Anolis sagrei: one gene and its partner. The protein of the gene in region 1 interacts with the protein of each later gene in a pairwise test. Links are inferred from orthologs where the notes say so. Each region holds a gene or a part of one and is shown on either strand. Other genes may lie near its edges.

Region 1 (9,596 bases):
ACTTCATAATGTTCCTCTTATTTGCTCCTTTCCTTTTCGTAGTTTTCATATAGAGTCCAATCTGTCCTCTTTATCGGATTCCCGGTGTTCTTTTTCAAGAAAAAAGTTAATTCGTCCATTTCTCTTATTTCTCTTATTTTCCCTAACCACTCTTCAATGGTAGGGATGTCTTCCTCTTTCCAAAGCTTCGCCAAAGATATTCTCTCCACTGTTGTAGCATAAGTAAATAGTCTATCTTCGTTCTCATCTAATTGTAATTCCAAATCCGTAAATCCCAATAGATAGTATTCTGGTTTCTTCTTGAAAACTCTCTTCAGAATTTTTTGTAACTCCTCATGTACTTTCGACCAGTATTTCTCTATTTCTTTACATGACCACCACATATGGTAAAAGGTACTTGTTTGGTGACAACCCTTCTAAATAATTATAAATTAATTATTATAAATAATTATGAATATAATAATATAAATAATATATTATTACACATAAATAATGCTGGTCGCTTCTGTGGCGTATCAGCCAGCACGTCAACGACTTAAATCTATAAATAGTTTTCTAAGATCTACAGAGACACTCGCTGGAACACCTCAGCAAGCGAGAATCCAAAAGTGGCAGGCTCAAACCCAGAACCTCAACCAATGGCTGATACCAAATGAGAGACTCCCCCCTGGGCACACAGAAAACTGGGCGACTTGGAAGGCGCTGAACAGACTGCATTCTGGCACCACAAGATGCAGAGCCAACCTCAAGAAATGGGGCTACAAAGTGGAATCCTTGATATGCAAATGTGGAGAGGAGCAAACCACTGACCACCTGCTGCAATGCAACCTGAGCCCTGCCACATGCACAATGGTGGACCTTCTTGCAGCAACACCAGAAGCACTCCAAGTGGCCAGATACTGGTCAAAGGACATTTAATCAACTACCAAACTCACAAATGTTGTATTTTGTCTGTTTGTTTGCTTTGTTCTGTTAGAAATGTAATATAATTGACTGGTTGCCCTGACATGACAAATAAATAACATAAATAATATTATAAATAATAGCATAAGGTAGGTATGTGGCCAGCATGCCTGCATGGTGCACCCTTACCTTCCTGCCAGAGTTAAACCTATTGATTCACTCACATTTACATGTTTTCGAACTGCTAGGTTTGATTATGGCAACCGGACGGACTGATTACTGGAAAATAGAGGGAGAAAATGTGGAGGCAATGACAAGGTTTGTATTTCTAGGTGCAAAGATTACTGCAGACGCAGACTGCTGCCAGGAAATCCGAAGATGTTTACTTTGTGGGATGAGAGCAATGACCAATCTTGATAAACTAGTGAAGAGTAGAGACATCACACTGGCAACGAAGATCCGCATAGTTAAAGCAATGGTATTCCGCGTAGCCACTTTGGATGGGAGAGCTGGACCATAAGGAAGGCTGAGCAAAGGAAGAGAAACACTTTTGAACTGTGATGCTGGAGGAAAATTCTGAGAGTGCCTTGGACCGTAAGATCAAACCAGTCCATCCTCCAGGGCATAATGCCTGACTGCTCACTGGAGGGAAGGATATTAGAGGCAAAGATGAAGTACTTTGGCCACATGAGAAGACAGGAAAGCTTGGAGATGACAATGATGCTGTGGAAAAAGGAAGGAAAAAGGAAGAGGGTCCGACCAAGAGCAAGATGCATGGTATCCTTGAATATTTGTATTCAATATTTGTATTCAATATTTGTTGATCCAAAAATCTGTATCTCCTGAGGAGAACAAATTCTCAAGTGTATAACCTTGTAAGTAACTTAAATGTTTTGTAACACATGGTGTTTAATGGATATGTTCAACAAATATTGGTGTAATAGCAAGTGTGAAGACTTAACAAATTTCTTTAAGTACATTTTAGTATAAGATGTTCTATATGTATGCAACCGGAGCAAAATATTGATTTATACATTCATTTCAGTCCACCAGAAGAAGGCCTGAGATAGGCCGAAACCGGTCGTGGATGGCTGATCTATAAGCTACTCAACATAAGAAGATATGACATTGATATTATTCTAAAGAGACTGTACCAGAATTTACATAATAGTGTTTGACATCACTGTGAAATTGAACAGTACAACATGTCTATATAACTGCTTGTTGAATTCCATTATTGTTTACTCTATGTATAAGTGGCATTTTTGTTGTATATAGTGGACGGCTGATCTATAAGCTACTCAACATAAGTAGATACGACATTGTTATTATTCTAAAGAGACTGTACCAAAATTTACACAATATTGTTTGACATCACTGTGAAATTGAACAGTACAACATGTCTATATAACTGCTTGTTGAATTCTATTATTGTTTACTCTATGTATAAGTGGTATTTTTGTTATATGTACTTATTCAGGAACCCATTTATATTATATTAGAGATATACATTTGGACAGGTAAGCTGGGCTGGAACCTTTTAGAGCTTTATTGGCTAAAGCCAGCACTTTGAATTGTGCCCAGTAACAAACTGGCAGCCAGTGGAGTTGACGTAACAGAGGGGTTGTATGCTCCTTGAACGCTGCTCCATGAGCAATCTGGCTACTGTCCGTTGGACCATTTGAAGCTTTTGAACAGTCTTCAAAAGCAACGCCACACAGAGCATGTTGCAGTGGTTTTTGAGTTATGCTAATTCCACAAACAAACATTCATTTTTTATTTATATAGACTAGCTGTCTCCTGTCACGCATTGCTGTGGCCCACATGGGGGTTCTGTGTGGGAGGTTTAGCCCAATTCTATCGTTGGTGGGGTTCAGAATGCTCTGTGATTGAAGGTGAACCATAAATCCCAGCAACTACAACTCCCAAATGTCAAGATTCTATTTTCCCCAAACTCCGCCAGTGTTCACATCTGGGCATATTGAGTATTCGTGTTGCTGGGTTGTTGTAGGTTTTTCCAGGCTATATGGCCATGTTCTAGAGGCATTTTCTCCTGACGTTTCACCTGCATCTATGGCAAGCATCCTCAGAGGTAGTGAGGTCTGTTGGAAGTAGGAAAATGGGTTTATATATCTGTGGAATGACCAGGGTGAGACAAAGGACTCTTGTCTGCTGGAGCTAGGTGTGAATGTTTCAACCGACCACCTTGATTAGCATTGAATGGCTTGGAAGTGCCTGGGGGAATCTTTTGCTGAGAGTGATTTGATGTGCCTGATTGTCTACTCTCTGCTGTTTTGCTGTTGTAATTTTTGAGTTTTTAAATACTGGTAGCCAGATTTTGTTCATTTTCATGGTTTCCTCCTTTCTGCTGAAATTGTCCAGATGCTTGTGGATTTCAATGGCTTTTCTGTGTAGCCTGACATGGTGGTTGTTGGAGTGATCCAGCATTTCTGTGTTCTCGAATAATATGCTGTGTCCAGGTTGGTTCATCAGGTGCTCTGCTATGGCTGACTTCTCTGGTTGAAGTAGTCTGCAGTGCCTTTCATGTTCCTTGATTCGTGTTTGGGCAATGCTGCGTTTGGTGGTCCCTATGTAGACTTGTCCACAGCTGCATGGAATACAGTAGACTCCTGCAGAGGTGAGAGGATCCCTCTTGTCCTTTGCTGAACGTAGCATTTGTTGGATTTTCTTGGTGGGTTTGTAGGTGGTTTGTATGTTGTGTATTTGTGTTGCGTTTGGTCCAGATCCATTACTGTTTGAATCCACAGTGATCTCTGGATGTAGGTGAACTACATTATAATTCATTCATTTAATGAGGCGATCCCTCGCTTTCCGAGGAGGATTGTCTTCCAGTATTCTTGTGGGTCCGTATGTGGCTGTGGAGCCCTATTCTTTCTCTGCATCTTCTCCCGCAGTGAGGGCATTGGTTTCCAGGTGGAAGGCGGTTTTGGTTGGGGTTGGCTTGACGCGCCTTCCTCTTGGCACGCTTCTCCCTTTCGCCCTCCATTCGTGCCTCTTCAAATTCTGCAGCACTGCTGGTCACAGCTGACCTCCAGCAGGAGCGGTCAAGGGCCAGGGCTTCCCAGTTCTCAGTGTCTATGCCAGAGTTTTTAAGGTTGGCTTTGAGCCCATCTTTAAATTTCTTTTCCTGTGAACTACAATTCCAGAACCAAAGGACACTGCCCACCAAACCCTTCCAGTATTTTCTGTTGGTCATGGGTTCCGGCCCAAGGTACCTATCCGACCGCATCTCTGCCTATGAACCCACCAGGACTTTGAGATCTTCCGGGGAGACCCTGCTCTCGATCCCGCCTGCTTCTCAAACTCGGCTGGCAGGGACGAGAGATAGGGCCTTCTCGGTGGTGGCTCCTCGGCTGTGGAACACCCTTCCTACGGACCTTAGACTAGCACCATCTCTAATGGTATTCCGCAAAAAAGTGAAGACCTGGCTGTTTGAGCAGGCGTTCGAATAATTAGTGCAATGACTGGTTAATGAACACTGGAATGGAACGATGGATGACGAATCTGGAACATGTTTTTGATGACGAGACGACAGTGAATGGGTATTGTAGTAACTGTTTATGAATTGTGTAATGTGTTAGGTTGTTAACTGTTTCTATACTGTAGCACTGAATTTTTGCTGTTCGTATTTGTTGTGAACCGCTCTGAGTTGCCTTCGGGCTGAGAACAGCGGTATATAAGAAAGGTAAATAAATAAATAAATAAATGGGAGAACTGTGTGCCAAGTTTGGTTCAATTCCATCGTTGGTGGGGTTCAGAGTGCTCTTTGATTGAAGGGGAACTATAAATCCTAGCAACTACAACTCCCAAATGACAAAATCAATTTTTTGAGTGAAGGACATACATTGGGTTGTTAGGTGTCTTGTGTCCAAATTTGGTGTCAATTTGTCCAGTGGTTTTTGAGTTCTGTTAATCCCACAAAACGAGCATTACATTTTTATTTAGATAGAAGGTTTTGGAAGCATTTCGGAGATGCAATCCTTTCTGTTTTTCACGTTTCACTATGTTACACCTCGAGAGAATGAGTTGGAAGGCAAGCGCGCATGCGCACATCCCCTTCGCCTTCCCTCCAGCACTTGTCGCGAGAAGGGCCAGGAGCCGCCAAGAGCCAATCGGGAAAGGAGGGAGGCGGCGCGCGCGTTGGGTTGGTCACGTGCCCCGCGCGTCCCGCCCAATCAGAGCCCTGGAGCGCGAAGGTGGCCCGAACTCCCGCCAAATACAAGCGAGGGAGCCTGGTTGGACGGCGAGCGGGAAGGGTCAGAAGGGGAAGGCTGGCTCAAAGTAAGGCAGAAGACGCGGGGAAAAGCCGGAAAGAAGGACGAAGGAAGGAGAAGGGCTTCCTATGCGGGGAGCGGAAGGCAGGAAGAGCCTGGGCTGCTTCCTCCCGCCTTTTGAGGGGAGAAGCCGGCCAGGAAGGAAGAAAGACCTTGGTGAGGTGAGCTGGGGGAAGAGCGGAAAGAGAGGCCTGGCCTGTTGGAGTAGAAAGACCTGCGGGAAAGGGATCATTATTCAGAACAATACGAATGAAGTGAGTTGCTGTTTTATTGTATGTTACTAGCCGTCTCTAGCCACGCGTTGCTGTGGCCCAGTCTTGTATTCTGGAAAATGATGTAATGAGAAACTGTTGGTTTCTAATGCCTTTATGCTTTGTGAGCAAACAGTATTTTCTGCTGTTTCTTTGTCAGTGTTGATTTGGAGATTGTCTGGTTTGCCTACTCTGGAACATGCAACATATAATTGTCCTTCTTTAGGGGTCCCTTTCAAATCTATGATACTATTTCTATCATATACTTATATATATGTGTGTGTGTGTGTGGATTATATAGATCTATCTATTTATTTATTTACTTTGCTTGTATACCGCAATTTCTCAGCCTTGTAGGTGACTCAACGCGGTTTACAACAAGAGCAAAAGTCAATCCAACAGCATACAAAGTTTAAAAACCATTAACAGCATAATATACAAAATGACACATCAATAACAACACATTAATGTCTCGTAACTAGAATCGTGATCCAATTTGTCTTCCATAATTCCGTTTCCTATATTCATCGTGTACATTGCATTGTTTAACCGAACGCCTGTTCGAACAGCCAGGTTTTTAGTTTTCTTCGAAACACCATTAATGAAGGGGCTGATCTAATGTCCATGGGAAGGGCGTTCCACAGCCATCTATGGCTGGATGGCTCTTTGCTTTCTTGCCCTGGTGAAGGGAGTTGGACTGGATGGCCTTAAGGTAGCATTTCTCAACCTGAGGGTCGCGAGAGGGTGTCAGGAGGGTTGCCAAAGACCACCAGAAAACAGTCATGGGGGTTCTCTCTGTGTGTGTGTGGGGGGGGGGGGGGGTGTTCTGTGTGGGAAGTTTGGCCCAATTCTATCATTGATCTTTGGATGTGGGTGAACTACAACTCCAAAACCAAAGGACACTGCCCACCAAACCCTTCCAGTATTTTCTGTTGGTCATGGGAGAACTGTGTGCCAAGTTTGGTTCAATTCTATTGTTGGTGGGTTCAGAATGCTCTTCGATTGTAGGTGAACTATAAATCTCAGTAAGTACAACTCCCAAATGACAAAATCAGGGTTTTTTTGTGTGATGGTAACTCCTTGGGTTAGTAAGTGTCTTGTGGCCAAATTTGGCGGCAATTAGTCCAGCAGTTTTTGAGTTATGATGTCACTCAAAATGAACAGAGCGTTGTATATGTGTGTGTGTGTACTATTACATATTATTTTTATTGTTAAAGTGACTTGTGTATGTGAAGAAGCCTTGTGTGGGATGGGTGCCTGATGGATGTGTTTCCTGAGGGAGATAATTAAGTGGGTAATAAATAATGCATTATTTATCTATTTTACTATTTATTATTATTATTATTTCCTATTCTCATTAAAGTCACTTGTGTGTGAAAAAGAGGCAAGGAAAAAGCCTTGTTTGGGAGGTTTGTCAAATGTGTTTGTGAGGGAGATAATGAGGTGGGTAATAAATCATGTATTGTTTATTAATATTATTATTAGTTTGTACTATTATTGTTATTAAAGTGAGTTGTGTGTATGGTGAAGCCTTGTGTAGGATGTGTGTCTGACTGATGTGTTTGAGGGAGATAATGAGGTGGGTAATAAATACATACAGTAGAGTCTCGCTTATCCAACATAAATGGGCCAGCAGAATGTTGGATATGCAAAAATGTCGGATAATACGGAGGGATTAAGAAAAAGCCTATTAAACGTCAAATTATGTTATGATTTTACAACCTAAGCACCAAAACATCATGTTTTATAACAAATCGACAAAAAGGGAGTTCAATACACAATAATATTATGTAGAAATTACTGTATTTACAAATTTAGCACCAAAACATTGCAGTGTATTGAAACAGCTGTGGATCTGGGCGGGAGACAGACTGCGTTGGATGAGCGAAGGTTGGATAAGGGAGGTTCTACTGTATATTATATATTCTTCTTATTATTAAAGTGACTTGTGTGTATGGAGAAGCCTTGTGTAGGATGTGTACCTGACTGGTGTGTTTTTGAAGGAGATAATGTGGTGGGTAATAAATAGTGTATAATTACTATTATTACTTTTATTAGTAGTTTTTACTATTTTACTATTTATTATCATTATTAAAGTCAGTTGTGTGTATGGAAAAGAGGCTAGGAAAAGCCTTGTATGGGGTGTGTGATGTGTTTGTGAGGGGGATAATAAGATAGGTAATAAATCATGTATTATTATTATTTATTCCAATTATTGTTAATTTTTACTATTGGCTGATGTGCCCGTAAAGGAGGTAATAAGTTGGGTATTATTATTATGTTATTCTTTATTATTACTATTATATATTTATTCTTACTAAAGTGACTCGTGTGTCTGGAGAAGCTTTGTGTAGGATGCCTGTCTGACTGATGCGTTTCCTGAGGGAGATATTGAGGTGGTTAATAAATGTATTATTTAGTATTACTATTACTTAATTTTGTTGTTGCTGTTATTATTATTAAAGTAAATTGTGCTTATGGAAAGAGGTGAGGAAAAAAGGCTTGTGTGGGATGTGTGTCTGATGTGTTTGTGAAGAAAATAATGTGGTGGGTAATAAATAATGTATTATTATTTATTACTATTATAATAAATTTTTAATTATTGTTATTGTTATTATTATTATTATTAAAGTGGAGGAAAGCCTCAACGTTTTAATCATTAGAATGGTCTACTGAACAATAAGTTCAGCCTTTGAGACGTCTCACCAATTTCACCAAAATTTGAAAATGGAAATAAGAAAATATGTGATGAGTTAGAGGAGGGTGAAAAGTATGAAAAATAGGATTTCTGAATGAACTGAATGATGTCAGTTTTAAAGGTGGTCGACTGATGGTCTAAGATGGGTTACTTTGAATGTGTCAGATTTTGCCTTCTAAAATCTTGTTTTTTAATGCATCTTTGTCATTTGTTGGCAGCAATGGAGTGTCGAGACAAATCGGCCACTCCAGGCCGGAAACTGATCCAAGGTAATTTTCTTTGTTCAAAGCCGGTTCTAGTTTTCATTTCCATGGTAACCTTCAGATTCGGATTGCATATTCCAAAAAGTCAAAATGTAATGAAACTGGGAGTGGGACTCTTCTAGCCCTGGAGTTGTTAGCACTCCATGTTAATACAGTCTACTTCAGTAATCAAGTCAGTATGTATTTTAACAGAAATATTGATTCTAGAGCAGGCATGGCCAAACTTCCTAACTTAGGGGCTGCATGCTAGCACTCCCTTATAGGAGGACTGGCTTCCCAGTGACGGAAGGAAGGGAAAGAAAAAAAGGTACAATGAAAAGCAGGAAGGGAAGGATGGAAGGAGAAAGAAGGAAGGAGGGAGAAAAGAGGGAAGGAAGGAAGGAAAGAGGGAAGGAAGGATGAAAGGGTAGAAGAGAAGGAGGAAGGAAAGACAAAAGGGAGGAAGGAAAGAGAGAAGGAAGGAAAGACAAAAGGGAAGGGAAGGGTGGAAGGAAGGAAAGAAAAGGAAGGACGAAAGGGTTGGAGAGAGGGGAGGTTGGAAAGAGAGAAGGAAGGAAAGAAAAGGGAAGGAAGGAAAAAGAGGGTGAGGGAAGGAAAGAAGGACAAAGGGGTGGAAGGAGGGAGGAAGAGGAAGGGAGGAAGGAGTAAAGGGTGGAAGAGAAGGAGGGAAGGAGGAAGGAAAGAGAGAATGATGGAAAGACAGAAAGAGAGAAAGACCTGAGAAAAAGAGCTCATGGGGCCGCATCCGACCCCCGGACCTGGGTTTGCCCATCTCTGTTCTAGAGTCAGAAATAACATTGAAAGAATAGAGATGGGTTCCTGCACCACAAAAAAAGTAAATTCAGTAAGTTTCTAAGCTTATCTAATGCTCCCTTGTTATTGGATAACTTGATGAGGGACCTGTATTTTTTTCAGATGGTTTTATTTGGTAAGCTTGGATGTATCTTTCCAACAGCTAACAGTCGACTTCTTTCTTTAAAAAATAATATTAAGGAAGTATATTTGGATGTGATATTTTGATTATTGGAAGCAGTAAGTTGATGGTTTCCTACATAAGAGTCTCACTTACTAAACTGCTCCTTTTTTTATCTGAATTCATGCAGCCCGACTGCCTTTTAAACGCCTGAATCCGGTGCCAAAGGAGAAACCGGATGGAAACCAGGGAGCCAAGAAAGCCAGGAACTCT
Region 2 (10,208 bases), on another chromosome or scaffold:
CTCCAGTGGCTCCTTAACAATGAGTTAAACCCTTGTGCCGGCAGGACTGCGGACTGAAAGGTTTGTAGTTCATTATCCGGGAAGCAGGGTGAGCTCCCATCTGTAAGTTCCAGCTTCTCATGCGGGGACATGAGAGAAGCCTCCCACAGGATGGTTAAACATCTGGAGGACTCCTGGGCAACGTCCTTGTAGACGGCCAATTCTCTCACACAAGAAATGACTTGGAACTTCTCAAGTCACTCGTGACATGAAAAAAAATTCAATGACTGAGTGGCTAGATACCAAGGTACCATTCACATCAACAGGCATCACTTTAGGTCTCTGTCATGCTGGCAGGCACCTGCATAAGTAAACCGGGTCCATTTTTAAAAAAAACATTCAGTTTGAGGCAATACAAACATTACATCTCTGATGAGTCAATCACACTTGGCAGATCACTTCATGCAATAGTTTCCAAGAGACAATTATGCAAGCACAAATCCATCACTCTTCACCTTCTCCATGATAAATCTTCTATGTGCATGGCCGTTTGGTATTGAATTCAGCACTGACAATAACAGATAGTACGTATTCATCCAGAAAATACTTCCCTAAATCAATGTGCTTCAACCTTCTAGTATCCTAGGCACTTTCCCAAATGTAAACTGAGGCAAACATCACTAACACATTACCAGCTAGATTAGGACATAACAGACCAACAATTCAAGGGACAGTTAATTTTGCATTTCTATTGCAGGAGCAATTGAGAGCTGAAAACATCTGGCACTCCATATCCACAGATACTAATGTTCCTTCAAAACCTTTTCCCCCCAAAAGCAAATCTTGATCTTGCCATTTTATATAAGGGACACCATGTTGCTACACCATTGTATATAATGGGACTTGAGTATCCACAGATGTTGATGCCCACAAAATGTCTGGAATCAAACCCAGCAGATACCAAGGGCCTACTGAACTACAATGATACACAAAAAAATCAGATTCCCCAACATAAGACATAAAAGGTACTGGAAGGGGCCAAGGCCAGAGCAACAATTAAAAGTGTATTTATACTATATTATTACGGCAGTTTGCTACTGCTTTAACTCATCATGACTCAATTGTATGTAATCATAGGAGTTATAGTTTTACAAGACTGTTAGCTATGTGTAGCACTCTGCCAAAGAGTGCTGGTGCGTCATTGTTGTTTATTCGTTCAGTCACTTCCGACTCTTCATGACCTCATAGACCAGTCCACGCCAGAGCTCCCTGTCAGCCATCACCACCCCCAGCTCCTTCAGAGTCAAGCCAGTCACTTCAAGGATCCCATCCATCCATCTTGCCCTTGGTCAGCTCCTCTTCCTTTTACCTTCCATTTTCCCCAGCATAACTGTCTTCTCCAAGCTTTCCTATCTTCTCATGATGTGGCCAAAGTACTGGTGCCTCACCAAACTACAAATCTTATTACGTAATGTGGTGTCATTACATCTACAGTGTAGAGCCAGCTTAGGACAAAGACAGACCAAACAACTCCCATGGTTGAGGAAAAGGCTGACTAAGAGTGCATCTCAGACTGCATAATTAATGCAGCTTAGCCACTTTAACTGCCATGGCTCAGGAATCAGCCAATCTGTACTTTGGCAAGGCAACAGCACTCTTTGGCTAGGAAGGCACAACACCTTGTCAAATGACAACTCCCAGGATTCCTCAAAATTGAGCCACGACAATGAAAATGATGGTCAAACTGCATTAACTGTACAGCACCCTTGGTCTCATTTCTAAGGGCCAAAACCCATCTGGCCTGTACAGTGTCCCAGGATCAGAACTGGGAATTGCTGGCTAAAGAGAATGTCACCCAAAGAGGTGACTGAAACACTCAGATAATGGTCTTATTATTATTATTATTATTATTATTATTATTATTATTATGTTTAATGTATCATTGAAGGCTTTCATGGCTGGAATCGCTGGGTGCTATGGTTTCCAGGCAGTATGGCCCTGTTCTAGCAGCATTTTCTCCTGACATTTCACCTGCATCTGTGGCTGTTATCCTTTGAAGATGCCTGCCACAGATGCAGGTGAAACGTCAGGAGAAAGCGAACATGAGAATACAGGCCGAAAACCACACAACACCCCATTATTACAATTATTATTGTTGTTGTTGACACAAAAGCACAGTATGTCACAGCAAATTAGATCTATATGCTGGATTTCATATCACAAAATCACAAGTCGAACACTTCCCAAGTGTCTAGGACTGTGTGATGTACTTTCGAATGATGTGTGCAGATCCAAGTAAGGTGGCCTTTTGCAGTTGACAGATCGTGATTTTGTCAATGTTTATTGTTTCCAAATGCCGGCTGAGATCTTTTGGCACAGCACCCAGTGTGCCAATGACCACTGGGACTACCTGTACTGGTTTATGCCAGAGGCTTTGCAGTTCGATTTTGAGGTCTTGATAGCGGCTGAGTTTTTCCTGTTGTTTTTCCTCAATGTGACTGTCACTTGGTATGGCGACATCAATAATCTTTTTTCTTTTCCACAATCATGATGTCTGGCGTGTTGTGTTCCAAAACTTTGTCCGTCTGGATTCGAAAGTCCCACAGTATTTTTGCATGTTCATTTTCCATGACCTTTGCGGGTTTATGATTCCACCAATTCTTTGCTGCTGGCAGGTGGTTCTTGTGACATAAGTTCCAGTGAATTATTATTATTGCCCCGCTTTTTCTCTACACAAGGAGACTCAGGCCCCTCTACACAGCCATATAAAATCCAGATTATCTGCTTTGAACTAGATTAGGTAGCAGCATAGACTGATAGAATCCAGTTCAAAACAGATTATGTGGATTATCTGCTTTGATAATCTGAATTATATGGCAGTGTAGAAGGGGCCTCAAAGTGGCAGATCAACCCAGTTTGCAGCTGTCATGCCCCCTTCACCAGTAATGAACCATCAAGCTGAGCCCTGATTGAGAAGGAGTGAAATCCCAACCATAGATCCCTTTCCACAATATCACAGAATTTCCATATTATTATTTGAAAATACAACAAGATGAGTCCACAGCAGACACTCTGCTGGCTGTTGTATTGGATCAGATGCCGGACACTTCCCAAGTGTCTAGGACTGTGTGATGCATCGGCGAATAATGTGTGCAGATCCCAGTAAGGTGGCCTTCTGCAGCTGGCAGATGTTAATTTTGTCAGTGCCGATTGTGTCTAAGTGCAGGCCAAGGTCTTTAGGCACTGCACCCAGTGTGCCGATCACCACTGGGACCACCTTGACTGGCTTGTGCCAGAGTCTTTGCAGTTTGATCTTTAAATACTCATATTGTGTCAGCTTTTCCCTGTTGTTTCTCTGCAATCCTGCTGTCACCTGGGACTGTGACATCGACGATCCATACTTTGTTTTTTAACATGATTGTGAAGTCAGGAGTATTATGCTCCAAAATTATTATTATTATTATTATTATTATTACATTCTATTTGAGTCCCCTTCGGGCAGACCCGTAGCCAGGATTTTGTTTCGGGGGGAGCTGAGTTTGATTGGGGGGGGGGGCTGAGTCTGAGTGAGAGAGGGTCTACCTTAGCAAACCTTTTGTATCGTTATCCCAATACCCCCATGCATATGGGATATATTGAGCATGGTGATCAGGTCATGATATGAATAAACATAACAGTTTAAATGATGTACCAGTAAGGCCACCATGAGACTTTCGGGGGGGGGGGGGGCTACATGCCTGCCTTCGGGTTTAACATAAAAACGTTAGCACAGCATTCTAAATATACAAATATTTAAACAGAATTAAATATAAACAGTACTAAAAGGTTCAGTTAAAACTATCCAGTAAAGACTTTCTGTATATATTTCAGATTTCAATATTAATGTCAAATATATGTAGTATGATTTTACATGTTACATTTGGCTCTCTGTTTCACACTCTATTCCTCTGACTTATATTATATTATGTAATATTAATATTCATGAACAAAAAGATTATGTTGCAATATGGTAGCAGCAGAAAGAATCATAGAATCAAAGAGTTGGAAGAGACCTCATGAGCCATCCAGGCCAAGAAGCAGAACTATTGCATTCAAATCACCCCTGACAGATAGCCATCCAGCCTCTGTTTAAAAGCTTCCAAAGAAGGAGCCTCCACCAGAAAGGAAGACCAAATGTTATGGAGAGAACAACTTGCAAGGAAACATTCCTAGTGCCACTGGTCTGACTACGAAATCGTAGAGTGGGAAGAGACCCCAAGGGCCATTCAGTCCAACCCTCTTCTGCCAAGTAGGAAACATACAATCAAAGCAGCCCTGGCAGATGGTCATCCAGCCTCAAGAGAAGAAGGCTCCACCATATGCAGCATGTGCTAAACAGAGATGTTGAGGTGGGTCTCTTTGAATCCCTGGCGCCCTGGTCTCCAGAGGAGCAGAAAACAAGCTGGCCCCCTCCTCAGTGTGGCACCCTTTCAGGAAAAGACCCATCTGTCCCTCCCTCCTCGAGGGCGCCATAGTGGCTGCTTGCCTCACTCAGGATGCCGCCTGACTCACCAGCCTCTCCGTCTCTTGCTTCCTTCCTTCCTTCCGCACTGCGCCTTCTCCTCCTCCTCCTCTTCCAGGAAACCGGGCTCCGGAAGGGCCCTGCCAACCCCCTCCGCCTGCTCCTGCAGCAGGGACTTCGCCAAGGCACCAGGGAGGAACACCCCCTCGACGCAAACAACAACACCCTTCCCGGAAGCGGAAGTGACGAAGATGACGGTAAGACCCAAGGCCCCTGACGTCAGCATGCTCCCCAGCACGTGGCCGGGGGAGGCGCGCGGAGGACAGGCGGGAAGTGCTTCTTCTAGAATCATAGAATAGAATCAAAGAGTTGGAAGAGACCTCATGGGCCATTCAGGCCAAGAAGCAGGAATATTGCATTCAAATCACCCCGATAGATGGCCATCCAGCCTCTGTTTAAAAGCTTCCAAAGAAGGAGCCTCCACCACACTCCGGGCAGAGAGTTCCACTGCTGAACGGCTCTCACAGTCAGGAAGTTCTTCCTAATGTTCAGATGGAATCTCCTCTCTTATCGTTTGAAGCCATTGTTCCATTGCATCCTAGTCTCCAGGGCAGCAGAAAACAAGCTTGCTCCCTCCTCCCTGTGGCTTCCTCTCACATATTTATACATGGCTATCATATCTCCTCTCAGCCTTCTCTTCTTCAGGCTAAACATGCCCCGCTCCTTAAGCCACTCCTCATAGGGCTTGTTCTCCAGACCCTTGATCATTTTAGTCGCCCTCCTCTGGACACATTCCAGCTTGTCAATCTCTCTCTTCAATTGTGGTGCCCAGAATTGGGCACAATATTCCAGTTGTGGTCTAACCAAAGCGGAATAGAGGGGTAGCATGACTTCCCTAGATCTAGACACTATGCTCCTATTGATGCAGGCCAAAATCCCATTGGCTTTTTTTGCCGCCACATCACATTGTTGGCTCATGTTTAACTTGTAGTCCACGAGGACTCCAAGATCTTTTTCACACGTACTGCTCTCGAGCCAGGCATCCCCCATTCTGTATCTTTGCATTTCGTTTTTCCTGCCAAAGTGGAGTATCTTGCATTTGTCACTGTTGAACTTCATTTTGTTAGTTTTGGCCCATCTCTCTAATCTGTCAAGATCATTTTGAATAGATTGCAGCATGAATGCACCGCCAGGGTTCAAGGCTGTGGAGTCCTGAGATCTGTCATCGGATAGGTTCTGTATCCGCCTCTGCCCCACCAAAGTGCAGCAAGAACATTCAAGAATGGATTGCTGTGAGTGTTCAGAGCTGTATGGCCATGTTCCAGAAGCATTCTCTCCTGACGCTTTGCCCACATCTATGGCAGGCATCCTCAGAGGTTGTGAGGTCTGTTGGTAACGAAGCAAGTGATGTCCAGGGTGGGAGAGAGAACTCTTGAGGCAAGTGTGAATGTTGCAATGGGCCACCTTGATTAGCATTTAATGTCCTTGCAGCTTTAAAGCCTGGCTAGTTGCTGCCTGGGGGAATTTTTTGTTGGGAGGTGTTAGCTGACCCTGATTGACTCTTACCTGGAATTCACCTGCTTTTTGGGTATTGCTCTTTATTTGTTGTTCATTCGTTCAGTCGCTTCCAACTCTTCGTGACCTCATGGATCAGCCCACACCAGAGCTCCCTGTCAGCCGTCACCACCCCCAGCTTCTTACTTAACTCAAATTATATTTTCTAGCTTGTGTTGATGTAAATTTTGCAATAACTTCAGTAAAATCAACTTGCTTAGCTAAATCATCTTCGATGCACAAAATTTCTAAAAGAGTACATTGCTCTTGACTAGTTGTGCCTATTTGCCTTGTTTGCAAGTCTGCTGAATGACCTTTCTGTTGCAATTAAAGCCATATATTGGCAAATATGTTGTTGTTGTTCATTCGTTCAGTTGTTTCTAACTCTTCGTGACCTCATGGACCAGCCCACACCAGAGCTCCCTGTCGGCCGTCACCACCCCCAGCTCCTTCAAGGTCAAGCCAGTCACTTCTAGGATGCCATCCATCCATCTTGCCCTTGGTCGGCCCCTCTTCCTTTTTCCTTCCATTTTCCCCAGCATCATTGTCTTCTCCAAGCTTTCCTGTCTTCTCATTATGTACTTCATCTTTTCCTCCAATATCCTTCCCTCCAATGAGCAGTCAGACTTTATTTCCTGGAGTATGGTTGGATCTTCTGGTGGTCCAAGGCACTCTCAGAACTTTCCTCCAGCACCACAGTTCAAAAGCATCTATCTTCCTTTGCTCAGCCTTCCCTATGGTCGAGCTCTCACATCCGTAATTTACTACAGGGAATACCATTACTTTTATTTACTGTCCTGATTTTAGAGGGTTTTTTAAATACTGGCGGCCAGATTTTATTTTCATGGTTTCTTCCTTTCTGTTGAGATTGTCCACATGCTTCTTGTGAATCTCAGTGCCTTTTCTGTGTAGTCTGACATGGTGGCTGTGAGAGTGGTCCAGCATTCTGTGTTCTCCAATAATATGCTGTGTCCAGGTTGGTTCATCAGGTGCTCTGCTACGGCTGATTTCTCAGGTCAAGACAACACAAATTCAACAATTCAGCAAAAGACAAGAGGGGTCCTCTAACCACTGCAGGAGTCTACGATACACCATGCAATTGTGGACAAGTCTACATAGGGACCACCAAACACAGCAATGCCCAGACACAAATCAGAGCATGAAAAGCACTGCAGACTTAGGCCCCTTCTACGCAGCTGAATAAAATCCCACATTTTTTGCTTTGAACTGGGATCTATCACAGTGTGGACTCAGATAACCCAATTCAAAGCAGACATTGTGGGATTTTCTGCCTTGATATTCTGGGTTATATGGCTGCATGGAAGGGCCCTTAGGCCCCTTCCACACAGCTGAATAAAATCCCACATTTTCTGCTTTGGATTGGGATATATGGCAGTGTGGACTCAGGGTCCTTCTGATACTGAGCACCAACCACCACACACATCCCCGACCCCGGCTGATCAAATATGCAAATAATCATCAGAGGAGTGGAGAAGGGCAGCAACAACTGACAAGCACCCTAGATACACTGTCTTCCCCCTCTATTACAAAGTAGCCTCTTTAATAAACATACACTTCAATGTGTTCCCCTTATAACTGATTCTTTGTATCCTTTTGGCCTCCTGTGTCTTTTGCCTCTTGCAGCTGGCCCCAGTAACTGTGCATAGCCTTCCGCATAGTTGAATAAAATCTCACATTTTCTGCTTTGAACTGGATTATATGGCAGTGTGGACTCAGATAACCCAGTCCAAGGCAGACATTCTAGGATTTTCTGCCTTGATATTCTGGGTTATATGGATGTGTGGAAGGGCCCTGAGTTAGGAGTAAAGATAAAGAATAGCAGCTATTTAAACAGTAATCCAATGTCATTTGATGCTGGCCCATAATATAAAACGCACATACAGAGAGAGAATGAGACAGAAGGTTGAGAGATATTTTTATTAGCCTCTTTTCTGCCTCCTGGCAACAGCACACAATGGGATGAGAGATTTGTAACCCATCTGGTTCCTTTGCCCTGATTTAACAGCATATTTAACCCCTCAGTTCCATGACTCTTAGCTGACAGCAGCTACATGGAAAGGCAACAGTGCTTAATGTTTACACGCGTCTTTCCTTCAATGCAGCATCAAAAATCTAATCAAAATTCTGCTTCAGGAAGCAGGGATTGTCCTAAGCCAGTATGAGCCGAAACATTCCTTTCACCTTGGCAAGTTGGCAGAAGAAGCCACTGACTTCCCTAACTGCCAGTCTTCCAGCCCTTAAACCATGGGAATATTTTAGAAAAAAAGGGACCACAGCTAACAGCCACTGGCAAGGGTTTTATGGTCAAAGACAGCTTAGATTCTACAGGAGCAAAGAAGAGGAGCTCAGAGGCAAAAGCTACACCAGACTGTTTTAATGAAAAAAGAGATTAAGAAAAATCATTTTTAAAAAAAGATTCTGGTTCAATTGGCACTGAATTGGGAAGCTCTTGTCCATAGGCTCAACAGCACCTACAAAGAAAAGAGATGGGTGTTAAGGACAGGAAAATGATACAAATCTTTGACAAGAATGAGGGAACATGAGATCTCAATGTTGTTAAGAATGCAAATCCAACCAGCCCTCCACAGTACGCCTACGGTAAATGCTGCTGGGAGCCCAGTATCTGAAGTAATCTCTACCCTTGTCTTGCCTTAGTGTTAGCCAGAGATTTAAGCTGACACTCTTCTACAGGGAAAAATTGTGCTATTTCAAGGCACTTCATTTAATGTCTTCCTCAGAAGCAAGTTCCCCAATCCTCTTGTCTTAAGTGAGACCAGTGAGAGGAAAACACACAACTGTTCTCCAAATAATGTATGAGCACCAATGCTTCCTATGTAAGGAAAGAGTATATCCCAACACCCCACAGTAACTGATATAGCCCCCAGCTGAGACTCTATGTGTCCAATAGAGACTCTACATCTCCATCTCAGATATGCATCTACCCCCACCCTCCAGGCTTAGCTAACCAAGCAACTTAGCACTGAATCCTCTTTATCAATCCAATGGCAGCAGGTGCTATTACCTTTCGCTTACTAGCTCAGCGATCAGTGGTTGTACGCAAGTCTGTGGTCAGTGGATCATGCTGGATTGTCTGGTGCAGCATGAGAGCAAGAAGCCCAGCTCGGTTGGTCATGGCCATCCGTACATTTCGTTCCTGTTCAAACAGCTCGTCCAGCTTGTACCACTGCAAAAGCAAGAGGAGCAGATTACAGCCCATCCCTAGTGGAAGGATTCACACCACTGCTACGATTTCTCGAGCCAAAAACCTATTTCATACACTGTTGATGGGCTCATTATAACCCTTTGACAACCAGACACATATGTGAAGTTTGCTGATCCATACCACGCGTACTCTCTCCAAGTCCACCTCAGCCCGGCGCAGCTTCTCCCAGCAGTAGTGTCGATTGCATTTCCGTTTGGGCACACGGCAGAACTCCCCAGTGAGCTCAAATACGTCTTTTACCATGGGGCAACCACATACCTCATCTGCTGACACCTGGGGGAAGATCAGTCAAGAGTGAACAGTCTGAAATCAGGGATGTTTGATATCCAGCTAAAATGATTCATACTCTGTGATAAGATTGGGCCAAGCTGTAGCACAGCTGGTTAATCACCAGCAGCAATAGATCACTGCTGACCAGAAGGTGGCAAGTTCGAAGCCCTAGTCAGATTGAGCACACATTTGTTAAGCCTAGCTTACTGTCCGCCTAAGCAGTTTGAAAACAGCTGAGCTGTGAGTAAAGAAATGAGAGACTGCTTAAAAGTGGGAAGGTATTTTACGACACCATAAAAATGCTGGGAATCAAAGAGCAAGGAGGAAATACAATAAAAATCACTCGCCGTCATAGTGAATGAAGAGCAACCCCCACCCCCCGCGGCATGGCAGGGATTGAGCTGAACCTCCAGGCACCTAACTTGAAATGCCAAAATACCCGTCTGTCTTGTATATCTGAAAACAGCATTGAATGTTTGTTGTGTATGTGTGCATTGTGATCTGCCTTGAGTCCCCTTTAGGGTGAGAAGGGTGGAATATAAATACTGTAAATAAATAAATAAATAAACCTTAAAGCCATTGACAAAGGAGCTTCTTTTTACAAAGTCTTTTTACAACTCTCTAGTCTCTGCCCCACTCCTTTTCTCCTTGTTTATGTGG

What was found.
Region 2: the proteins of CHAF1A (region 1) and methyl-CpG-binding domain protein 1 interact in binary tests that used the Homo sapiens proteins (3 or more experiments, as listed by UniProt). The link is inferred for Anolis sagrei from reciprocal best matches to the Homo sapiens genes CHAF1A and MBD1.

The regions. Positions count from the first base shown.
Region 1 is NC_090034.1:56,229,684-56,239,279, forward strand, and holds the start of CHAF1A (chromatin assembly factor 1 subunit A), read left to right. Parts: upstream 1-5,097; 5' UTR 5,098-5,359; exon of another isoform or gene 5,360-5,452; intron 5,453-8,365; 5' UTR 8,366-8,367; coding exon 8,368-8,416; intron 8,417-9,513; coding exon 9,514-9,596. UniProt on the Homo sapiens protein: Acts as a component of the histone chaperone complex chromatin assembly factor 1 (CAF-1), which assembles histone octamers onto DNA during replication and repair.
Region 2 is NC_090022.1:193,767,779-193,777,986, reverse strand, and holds the start of methyl-CpG-binding domain protein 1, read right to left. Parts: upstream 4,616-10,208; 5' UTR 4,531-4,615; intron 1-4,530. Other genes in the region: CXXC1 (CXXC-type zinc finger protein 1), read right to left, coding at 9,093-9,239, 9,399-9,551. UniProt on the Homo sapiens protein: Transcriptional repressor that binds CpG islands in promoters where the DNA is methylated at position 5 of cytosine within CpG dinucleotides. Binding is abolished by the presence of 7-mG that is produced by DNA damage by methylmethanesulfonate (MMS).